Xenopus tropicalis: one gene and its partners. The protein of the gene in region 1 interacts with the protein of each later gene in a pairwise test. Links are inferred from orthologs where the notes say so. Each region holds a gene or a part of one and is shown on either strand. Other genes may lie near its edges. The genes, in order: tnip2, nfkb1 and stk11.

What was found.
Region 2: the proteins of tnip2 (region 1) and nfkb1 interact in binary tests that used the Homo sapiens proteins (3 or more experiments, as listed by UniProt). The link is inferred for Xenopus tropicalis from reciprocal best matches to the Homo sapiens genes TNIP2 and NFKB1.
Region 3: the proteins of tnip2 (region 1) and stk11 interact in binary tests that used the Homo sapiens proteins (3 or more experiments, as listed by UniProt). The link is inferred for Xenopus tropicalis from reciprocal best matches to the Homo sapiens genes TNIP2 and STK11.

What each region holds. Positions count from the first base shown.
Region 1 is NC_030677.2:21,860,744-21,864,260, reverse strand, and holds part of tnip2 (TNFAIP3-interacting protein 2), read left to right. Parts: intron 1-1,897; coding exon 1,898-2,203; intron 2,204-3,119; coding exon 3,120-3,203; intron 3,204-3,471; coding exon 3,472-3,517. UniProt on the Homo sapiens protein: Inhibits NF-kappa-B activation by blocking the interaction of RIPK1 with its downstream effector NEMO/IKBKG.
Region 2 is NC_030677.2:73,610,003-73,612,923, reverse strand, and holds part of nfkb1 (nuclear factor NF-kappa-B p105 subunit), read left to right. Parts: intron 1-258; coding exon 259-325; intron 326-1,330; coding exon 1,331-1,503; intron 1,504-2,905; coding exon 2,906-2,921.
Region 3 is NC_030677.2:100,082,274-100,085,934, forward strand, and holds part of stk11 (serine/threonine-protein kinase STK11), read right to left. Parts: intron 668-3,661; coding exon 535-667; intron 461-534; coding exon 324-460; intron 1-323. UniProt on the Homo sapiens protein: Tumor suppressor serine/threonine-protein kinase that controls the activity of AMP-activated protein kinase (AMPK) family members, thereby playing a role in various processes such as cell metabolism, cell polarity, apoptosis and DNA damage response.

The DNA of each region.
Region 1 (3,517 bases):
TGGGATAGCAGGTATAGTAGGGAGAGATGGTGCCTATAGTAGCAGTGGGGGGATAATAGCCTCTGGGAAAGGACTGGGGCCGTGGGATAGCAGGTATAGTAGGGAGAGATGGTGCCTATAGTAGCAGTGGGGGGATAATAGCCTCTGGGAAAGGACTGGGGCCGTGGGATAGCAGGTATAGTAGGGAGAGAGGTGCCTATAGTAGCAGTGGGGGGATAATAGCCTCTGGGAAAGGACTGGGGCCGTGGGATAGCAGGTATAGTAGGGAGAGATGGTGCCTATAGTAGCAGTGGGGGGATAATAGCCTCTGGGAAAGGACTGGGGCCGTGGGATAGCAGGTATAGTAGGGAGAGATGGTGCCTATAGTAGCAGTGGGGGGATAATAGCCTCTGGGAAGGGACTGGGGCTGTGGGATAGCAGGTATAGTAGGGAGAGATGGTGCCTATAGTAGCAGTGGGGGGATAATAGCCTCTGGGAAGGGACTGGGGCTGTGGGATAGCAGGTATAGTAGGGAGAGATGGTGCCTATAGTAGCAGTGGGGGGATAATAGCCTCTGGGAAGGGACTGGGGCTGTGGGATAGCAGGTATAGTAGGGAGAGATGGTGCCTATAGTAGCAGTGGGGGGATAATAGCCTCTGGGAAGGGACTGGGGCTGTGGGATAGCAGGTATAGTAGGGAGAGATGGTGCCTATAGTAGCAGTGGGGGGATAATAGCCTCTGGGAAGGGACTGGGGCTGTGGGATAGCAGGTATAGTAGGGAGAGAGGTGCCTATAGTAGCAGTGGGGGGATAATAGCCTCTGGGAAGGGACTGGGGCTGTGGGATAGCAGGTATAGTAGGGAGAGATGGTGCCTATAGTAGCAGTGGGGAGATAGTAGCCTCTGGGAAGGGACTGGGGCTGTGGGATAGCAGGTATAGTAGGGAGAGATGGTGCCTATAGTAGCAGTGGGGGGATAATAGCCTCTGGGAAGGGACTGGGGCTGTGGGATAGCAGGTATAGTAGGGAGAGATGGTGCCTATAGTAGCAGTGGGGGGATAATAGCCTCTGGGAAGGGACTGGGGCTGTGGGATAGCAGGTATAGTAGGGAGAGATGGTGCCTATAGTAGCAGTGGGGGGATAATAGCCTCTGGGAAGGGACTGGGGCTGTGGGATAGCAGGTATAGTAGGGAGAGATGGTGCCTATAGTAGCAGTGGAGGGATAATAGCCTCTGGGAAGGGACTGGGGCTGTGGGATAGCAGGTATAGTAGGGAGAGATGGTGCCTATAGTAGCAGTGGGGGGATAATAGCCTCTGGGAAGGGACTGGGGCTGTGGGATAGCAGGTATAGTAGGGAGAGATGGTACCTAGTGGGATGATAGCCTTTGGGCAGGGATCCCCAACCTTTCTTACTCGTGAGCCACAGTCGAATGTAAAAAGACTTGGGGAGCAACACAAGCACCATAAAAGTTCATGGAGGTGCCAAATAAGGGCTGTGATTGGCTATTAGGAAGCCTCTATGCACACTATCAGCTTACAGGGGCTTTATTTGGTAGTAAATCTTGTTTTTATTTAACCAAAGCTTGTTATGTTTATGTTTGAGCTTTTACCTACTATTGTTCCATTTCAGTGGTTTTTCCTAGTTGATTGGGTCATTGACTGTACTAATCAGAAGTTTACCCACTCTGCTAGAGAACTGCAAAAAAAACATAATTTCAGAACTACTGCAAAATGTTATATAATTATATAAGGCAGTAAACTAAGAATTACACTTGAGAATCCAAACCAGACAGTCTGTATTGTTCCAGGATAGAAACCCAAGACTTGCCCCCCGGTAGCTACGGCACGTGCAGCCTATTTTTTACCTCTAGGTGTTTTTGAATTGAAATGTGTTTTAAAGGCAGAACTCTTCTGTTTGCAGGAAATTACGAGGCTCCATCAGCAGCTGGAAGATAAGGATAAGCAGGTCCAGCAATACGCCAGCTGGCCTCAGCACGAGAAAGAACTGGAAATCTGCCGCCTTCAGCAGACGCTGGCCAATAAAGAGAGGGCTCAGGCCACCAGCGAAGTCCTGTGCCAGTCTTTGTCCGACGAAAGCCAACAACTCCGCCGCAAGCTGGCCGCCACCGCCGAAATGTGTCAGCACCTGGTCAAGTGTCTCGAAGATTCACAGAGAAATGTCCACCGGAACATGGAGGAGCTGGCACACACGGAAAGGCCCAGCAAGGTGAGAGAACAAATTCCAGTTAGGGAGGCATTGGGTCAAGAATTTGGTCCGACTTTGGTCACTGCCCCCAGTAGTGTTGCTCTGTGAGGCTACAATTTTATACTCATTGTTATTTTTTTCTTATCTTTCTATTTAACTCTTCTCCGTTCCATATTCCAGTTATGCATTAAAACCACTACCTGGTTGCTAGGTTAATTTGGACCCTAGCAACCAGAGAGCTATCAGTCTCTACATCATACTAAAAGTCTGTTTAAAGGTTAACATTGGGGGGAATATATTTACTATAATTCTCTTTGTCGACTGATTAAAGGGGTCTGTAAAAAATAATGCACTGAATCTACTATTTTTGGGATTCAACCGAACCCTGAATCCTTTGCGAAAGAGTCTGCCCAATACCAAATCCGAATTTGCAATGGAAACGAGAGAGTGAAAAATGTACAACTTCAATGTTTATCAGCCAAATTGGATTTGATTTGGCTGAATCCGAATCCTGCTTAAAAAGGCCAAATGTTGGCCAAATCCTGGATTTGCTGCATCCCTAGTAAAACCCACTTGTAATATTACATTTATTTCCCAAAAATGACTGTAGATAATCCCCTAGTTTCCCACAGTGTGTTTGCTTTACCGTACAAATGAAAAAGCACTTGTAAATCTGTGGTTTCCCATGAAACCTCACATTGGTGGCTTGGCACTTGTGCAGGATCCGCAGTAATAACCCAAACCACGGAAGGTTGGAGCAGAAAAGATGCCATGTTATAGAGAGTGCAGAATATCTAATGCCGTCCTATCACGAATGGCCTATAATCTATCTTTTGGTTGCAATGGTTACTTTGTCCCTTTGTCTCCGTTTTAATGCCGTGTATTTAATTAGCTTTGTCCTTCTAACGAGTTCTTCTTATTTCTTTATCATTTGCAGATCCCGAATCTAGACTGCAGCAGTGAGTCATCTCTCAGCAAACTTCAGGAAGAGAACCGTTTATTAAAACAGAAAGTTGTTCATGTAAGTCAATGCAAATATATTTCTGTTTCCTCTTTTATCTTTACTGTAATATCATCTTGAGCATCGCGCAGGGATCTTTCGACATCGATCTCTGTATTTTCCCCAGAATTGTGAAGACACTTTAAAGAGACATAGACCTTGTACTGAGCTGTGTTAAGTGCAGATAAAGTTTACAAGATTCCAGACCTGGAAATATAGAATTAGAAATATCTATTAATGGAGGAATAAATGGCGCTAATGGTGGAATGTTTTCATTTGCCCCATCCAGGTGGAAGATTTAAACGCAAAGTGGCAGAAGTATGACGCCAGCAGAG
Region 2 (2,921 bases), about 52 Mb from region 1:
GGAGGTGCTGTACCTGTTGGCGGGCCAATAGCCATCTGTCCCATATTTTCCTGAATTTGTAAAGGCAACCTTTAGCCACAATGTCCCTATATTAATTCAACATTAGGTGATATCATATATAAATGGAAAGGCCAAACACTAAAGGCATTGTGATATTGTAGACAGTTATTTCTGATGCAAAAAACAGACTGCATATATATCAGAATGATTTTTCTGTTGTGGTATTTTAATTTATTACTTCCTCCTCCCAATATGTAGGTTCTTGAAATTCTGAATGGCAAGCCTTACAAGTCAGAAGTGGCTCCTGAAGACTCCTTGCCACAAGGTATTGGCACAGCACTCTATAGTAAATATACATAAATGGAGGGCACTCACTTCGCATACAAAAAAACAACAATATAGATGTTTGGTGCAAGAAACCCAAAAGCAGTACCCCCATACAGGGCACCAAAAACAGTCATTTTAAATAGGATGAGGGTTTGCACACAAGAAACACAAGCACAATGATAGTATTAAAAAATATAGTCCTTTATATAGTATACAAAAGATTTAACAGCAGTCAATTTTAATTGCAAGATTACAAAAGATAATACATAGATTTATAAGATAATACATACCCACAAAATGTGCCCCCCTTGAGAAAGGCTCTTTGCCGAAATGTTGGGGTATTTCTCATCTTTGGCAAGTGTATCCACTAACTTGTGTGTCTCCTTTTGCCTATGCGCATTTTGTGGTATGTATTATCTTATAAATCTATGTATTATTTTTTGTAATCTTGCAATTAAAATTGACTGCTGTTAAATCTTTTGTATACTATATAAAGGATTATATTTTTAATACTACCACTGTGCTTGTGTTTCTTGTGTGCAAACCCTCATCCTATTTAAAATTGGCACAGCACTCTGCCTGTCCTGAACATTCTCAGTATTTAAGGACCAGTAACACAAAAACAATGAAAGTGTTTGATAAGCATATCATTTAATTGTACTGTTGCCCTGAACTTGCGTTTGCTTCAGAAGTACTACTATAATTTATATAAATAAATGTAGCCCCTGAGCTCATCCAGTTACATTTCCAAAAGTTTGGACAAACAGGGAAATTATTTATATATCTATATATATGTATATAATCTGGACTTTAACACAATATAGTTTTTACGTACTTATGAAATAAATTGCCTATATAAAAAAAATGAATACAATTCGGTTCTTACCCATAAAAAGTTTTGACACCCTGTGTTTAATAATATGATCATCAATAAATCATAAATTGTTCATACAATAGGAACGTTAAGCTTCTATTTCTCTTAAATTATTTCTTTATTTTGAAGGTGACATGAAAAACCTTAGTGGAGAGGTAAAGCAGAGGCTGTACACCTTGTTAGAAAGCCGAGATTTGGACAAGAACTGGGTCACTTTAGCACAGAAGCTGGGCCTTGGAATGCTGAACAATGCTTTCAGATTAAGCCCCCACCCATCTAAAACATTACTGGACAACTTTGAGGTAAGCACTGTGCTTTAGTTCTGTATCCATTCTAAATTTAAACACTTGGAACTTTATTTGTCAATTCCAAATAAACATGGTTCATATGAGGGGTGTTGTCATGGCCTTTAATGCATACTTAAAGGGCATGTCAACGCCAAAAATAAATTTTTGCACAATAAAAAAAAATTATATATATAATCATAAGCAACTTTCCAATATGAATTTGTTAAATATTTTCAGTGCTTTAAAAGTTATTTGTAAATGTAGTTGCTATTGAAAGCAGCATTTGCTGAACTCCTGGTTGTTAGCTTTTAAACAATGTTCTCCTCCAGCAAGTCTGGTCTGTAAAATCTGCTGGCATTTGTTATATTGTTTCAAATGCCAGAGCCACCAGGGCAGAGAATAGAAAGGACAGGCAGACACTGCTTTTAATAGCAGCTATATATACAAATAACCATTACAAATTTTTGTTTTTTTTTATTAGGCAAAAACATTATATTCTGGATTGACATGTCCTTTAAACTCATTTAATGTCAGCAATGCAGGGAGTGTTTTTTCACTATATATTCACCTATATATATATATATATAGACATCTTTACTAGAGTTTGAAGCATTGTTGGAATGTTTTTAGACAGAGAGTGTTCTCCTGGCATCTATTATACAGCCGGGTGGTAAAATGCCATTTATCACTTCAGAAGACGCATTTTCACTTCTCCAGAGTCCAAAGACTGCTGAGGACACATCATTTTAGACAATGAATCTGTATACATTTGGCCACATAGCATATGTGTCCATAACTAAAACCAACCAAACTGCTATGCAAACAAAACCGACACTGAACATTTGAGGTCATTCCAATCATCAGCATTAATTTGCAGTATGTCTCCAGCCCACTATATATGGCAGTTAGCAAAGGGATTGCCCTTTTGTTAACAGTGTATAGAGTAAATACAAGACACTAGCCCTGTATTGTCAGGTGTCCTTAGAAATCCCTCAGTTCAGAAATGGAGATTGTTGGGAGAGTGAGGAACTGACCAGCAGCTGCCTGAGAAGATTTCTGTACCACATATTCCTATACCCAAAGGGGTTGGCAAGGGGAATATTTGTGAGTGCTTCAAGGGAACTCTCTGATATAGTGAAGGCCTCATTCTCAGTTGAAGGAGAGAACCACCAGTCCACACATTAGCTGTGTAGCTAAGTAATAAAGAAAGAAGTGTGGGGGCCGGCCCTCAATTCAGTTTAGGCTTATTCTCCTTAAAATTAACTTTTAGTTAAAGTACTAGCCTTGATGTTTGATTGGTTGCTATAGGTTACTGCACCTGGGCAAATTTAGTGCCTTTAATTACATAACCCCCATAGCGTCTATACATCTATTTTACAAATGTTGAAATGAAACATTTGGTTGTGCTTTGTTGAAGGTTTCTGGTGGAACCA
Region 3 (3,661 bases), about 78 Mb from region 1:
CCCATGGGCCAAGTGACTAGAGCATAAAGAAATTGAAAGTTACACAAAAATATGGTAATTTCTGTGGTGGCCTTCTACTGGTGCCAATGTAATGCTTCAGTAGACAGGATTTTGAGTCCAGACAGACAGACAGAAATTTGATGGGATTGAACAATCTTCTATCAAAATGGCATCTCAAAATGATCAGTTTGGCCCCTTAACCAGCTTTGTTTTAATTAAAATAGTCCATAGCTACATGCTGAAGCAAATAGTATTTTCTAACAAATCAGGTGTCAACATGGCTGTCGTCCACAGTAAGTGCAGTGGTGAATGTAGATACTCACAGCGTTACTCCTGCTGACCAGATGTCCACTTTGAATCCTGAGAAGGTATCCAGGCCATTGGCAATCTCTGGAGGCTGAAAAGCTGGAGATCCTTGGCTGGTCCTACAAGTATCACCTTCAGCAAACGGGTGCAAAGCCTGCAAAAGGAAAAAAAAAAAAGTCAAATGGCCAAATGTTTAAGATCTCTTATAAATAATCCACAGCTACATACCTCTGCCACCCCCAAGTCTGAGATTTTGAGTGTCCCATCTGTTGTTAGCAGCAAATTCCCTGGTTTAATGTCTTTGTGAACAATTCCCTGACTGTGAAGGTACTCCAGACCATCAATGAGTTGGCAAAAATAACTGTGGATCAAAAGAGTTCATTGTGTTAAAAAGGCTAGTTCAACTTTAAGGTAACTTTTAGTATGTTTTAGAATAACATATTCTTAGCAACTTTACAGAACAGTCAAAAAGATTGCTCTGTGAGCCTTTAACTGTATTGTTGCTGTTACTTTGTATTACTTATATATCTACTCAGGTTCACAATCTTCAGTCTGGCATTCAAACCACTACCTTATTGCTAAGGTATATTCATCCCTGGCAATCAGGGTTGAAATGTCAAACTGGAAAGCTGCTGAATAAAAAGGTTAATCGTAAGTGTAACAGATCTTGCCAGACTAATTTAATCGCCTTTTATGAGGAGGTGAGCAGGAACCTCGATGCTGGAATGGCAGTTGATGTCATCCACTCGGACTTTGTGTTTGATACAGTACCTCACAGAGGGTTAATGATCAAATTGAGGAATATTGGCCTTGAACATAATATTTGTAATTGGATAGAGAACTGGCTGAAGGATAGATTACAAAGAGTGGTGGTAAATGGAACATTTTCTAATTGGACCAGTGTTGTTGTTGTGTGGAGTACCGCTGGGGTCAGTCCTTGGTCCTTTGCTTTTTAACTTGTTTATTAATGACCTGGAGGTGGGCATAGACAGTACTGTTTCTATTTTTGCTGATGACACAAAACTGTGCAAAACTATAAGTTCCATGCAGGATGCTGCCACTTTGCAGAGCGATTTGACAAAATTGGGCAGCAAACTGGAAAATTAGGTTCAATGTTGACAAGTGCAAAGTTATGTACTTTGGTAGAAATAATATAAACGTGAACTATCTACTGAATGGTAGTGTATTGGGGGTATCTTTAATGGAGAAGGGCTTTTTGTAGATAACAAGTTGTCTAATTCCAGGCAGTGTCATTCTGTGGCTACTAAAGCGAATAAAGTGCTGTCTTGTACAAAAAGGGCATTGACTCAAGGGATGAAAACATAACTTTGCATCTTTATAGGTCCCTGGTAAGGACTCACCTTGAGTATGCAGTGCAGTTTTGGCCTCCAGTCCTTAAGAAGGATATTAATGAGCAAGGAGAGAGTGCAGAGACGTGCAACTAAACTGGTAAAGGGGATGGAATATTTAAGCTATGAGGTTAGACTGTCATGGTTGGGGTTGTTTTCTCTGGAAAAGAGGTGCTTGTAAGGGGACATGATTACTCTGTACAAAAACATTAGAGGGGATTATAGGCAGATAGGGGTTGTTCTTTTTTCCCATAAAAACGATCAATGCACCAGAGGCCACCCCTTTAGATTAGAGAAACAGAGCTTCCATTTGAAGCAGCGTAGGTGTTTTTTCACGGTGAGGGCAGTGAGGTTGTGGAATGTCCTTTCTAGTGATGTTGTAATGGCAGACTCTGTTAATGCCTTTAAGAGGGGCCTGGATGAGTTCTTGAACAAGCATAGCATCCAAGGCTATTGTGATAGTAAAATCTACAGTTAGTATTAGTAGTTGTGTATATATAGTTTATGTATGTGAGTGTATAGATTGTGTGTGCTGGGTTTACTTGGAAGGGTTGAACTTGATGGACTCTAGTCTTTTTTCAACCCTATGTAACTATGTAACAATTCCACAAAATAAACCTTTTTTTAAAAGGTTTCAAACTGTCGTAATTTATCATACAAGCCGATTTCCAAAAAAAAAAAAAAAAAAGTTGGGACACCGTGTAATACGTCAATAAAACCAGAATCTAATGATTTTCAGTAGTACAAAGACAACATAGCAAATGCTGAAACAGAGAACTTTTTAATCCTGAAATATATATGCTCATTTTAATTTAATGCCAGGAAAATATTTTTTTAAAATACTGGAACTGCTCAACAGTTCAGGTCACCTTTGTTGTATTTTTCATTTAATTATGCCATGCTTTTTAATAGGTACAGAATGTGGTTTGGCATTGTATTGCTGAAATAAGCAAGTCCTTTCCCTAAAAAAGATGTTGTCTGGATGGCAGCATATTTTGCTTCAAAACCTGTATATATCATTCACCATTAATGGTACTTCCCAGATGTGCAGGCTGCCTATGCCATGTGGACTAATTCATCCCCCATAATATCACGGATGCTGCCTTTTGAACTGTGCCAGAGGACATGGTGTCCATGATATCCAAAAAAAAAATTAAAATTTTGATTTATCAGACAAGATAGTTTTCCACTTTGCCTCAGTCCATCTGGAATGGTGATGTTTCTGGATCGTGTTAATATATTGTTTTTCTTTTCATTTTAGAAGAAAATAAAAACATTTAGAAATTACTGATGCAGTAATGCAGTCCATGCACTACAGAGTCATACCAGTTTTTAATGCAGGGATGCCTAAGGGCCCATGGTTCACGCCCATCCAATAGCATTTGCCTTATCCCTTGCCAACAGAGAATTCTTTGGAATCTCTGAATCTTTTAATGATATTGTGTACTATAGATGGTGTATGTAGATACTGAATTCCCCAAATTCTTTGCAATTTTATGTTGAGAAACATTATTAAATGTTTGCAATATTTGCCTGTGCAGTGTTTTATAGAGTGGAGTGTCTCTCCCCATCTTTACTTCTAAAAGACCCAGCATTATACAACCTGCTTGTTGCTGGCATCAAAATAAGCATTTCTATCTTTCAGAAAACAATAACATTTCTCAGTCTTACAATTGCTATGTGTTCTTTGTAATATTTTCAACTAAATCTAGAGTTTAAATTATTTGCAGACAATCCCATTCTTTTTTTTATTTTCATTTTTTAAAGTGTCCTGACTTGGAGGCTTGTACCAAAGGCTAATTTGAAGTTAATTAACCCCTTTAAAAAGGTTCAGGTAGTACACAATTCACACACCTAGACATCTCAAGAACACAAGGGAAGGCAAAAACTAGTGGATAAAAACTTGAGAAAACATGCAGAAATATGCTACAATACCACTACAATCTTGAAAACAGTCTGAAAATACCAACTAAATGCCAAAGTATCAAAACAATGGCAAAAAAAGG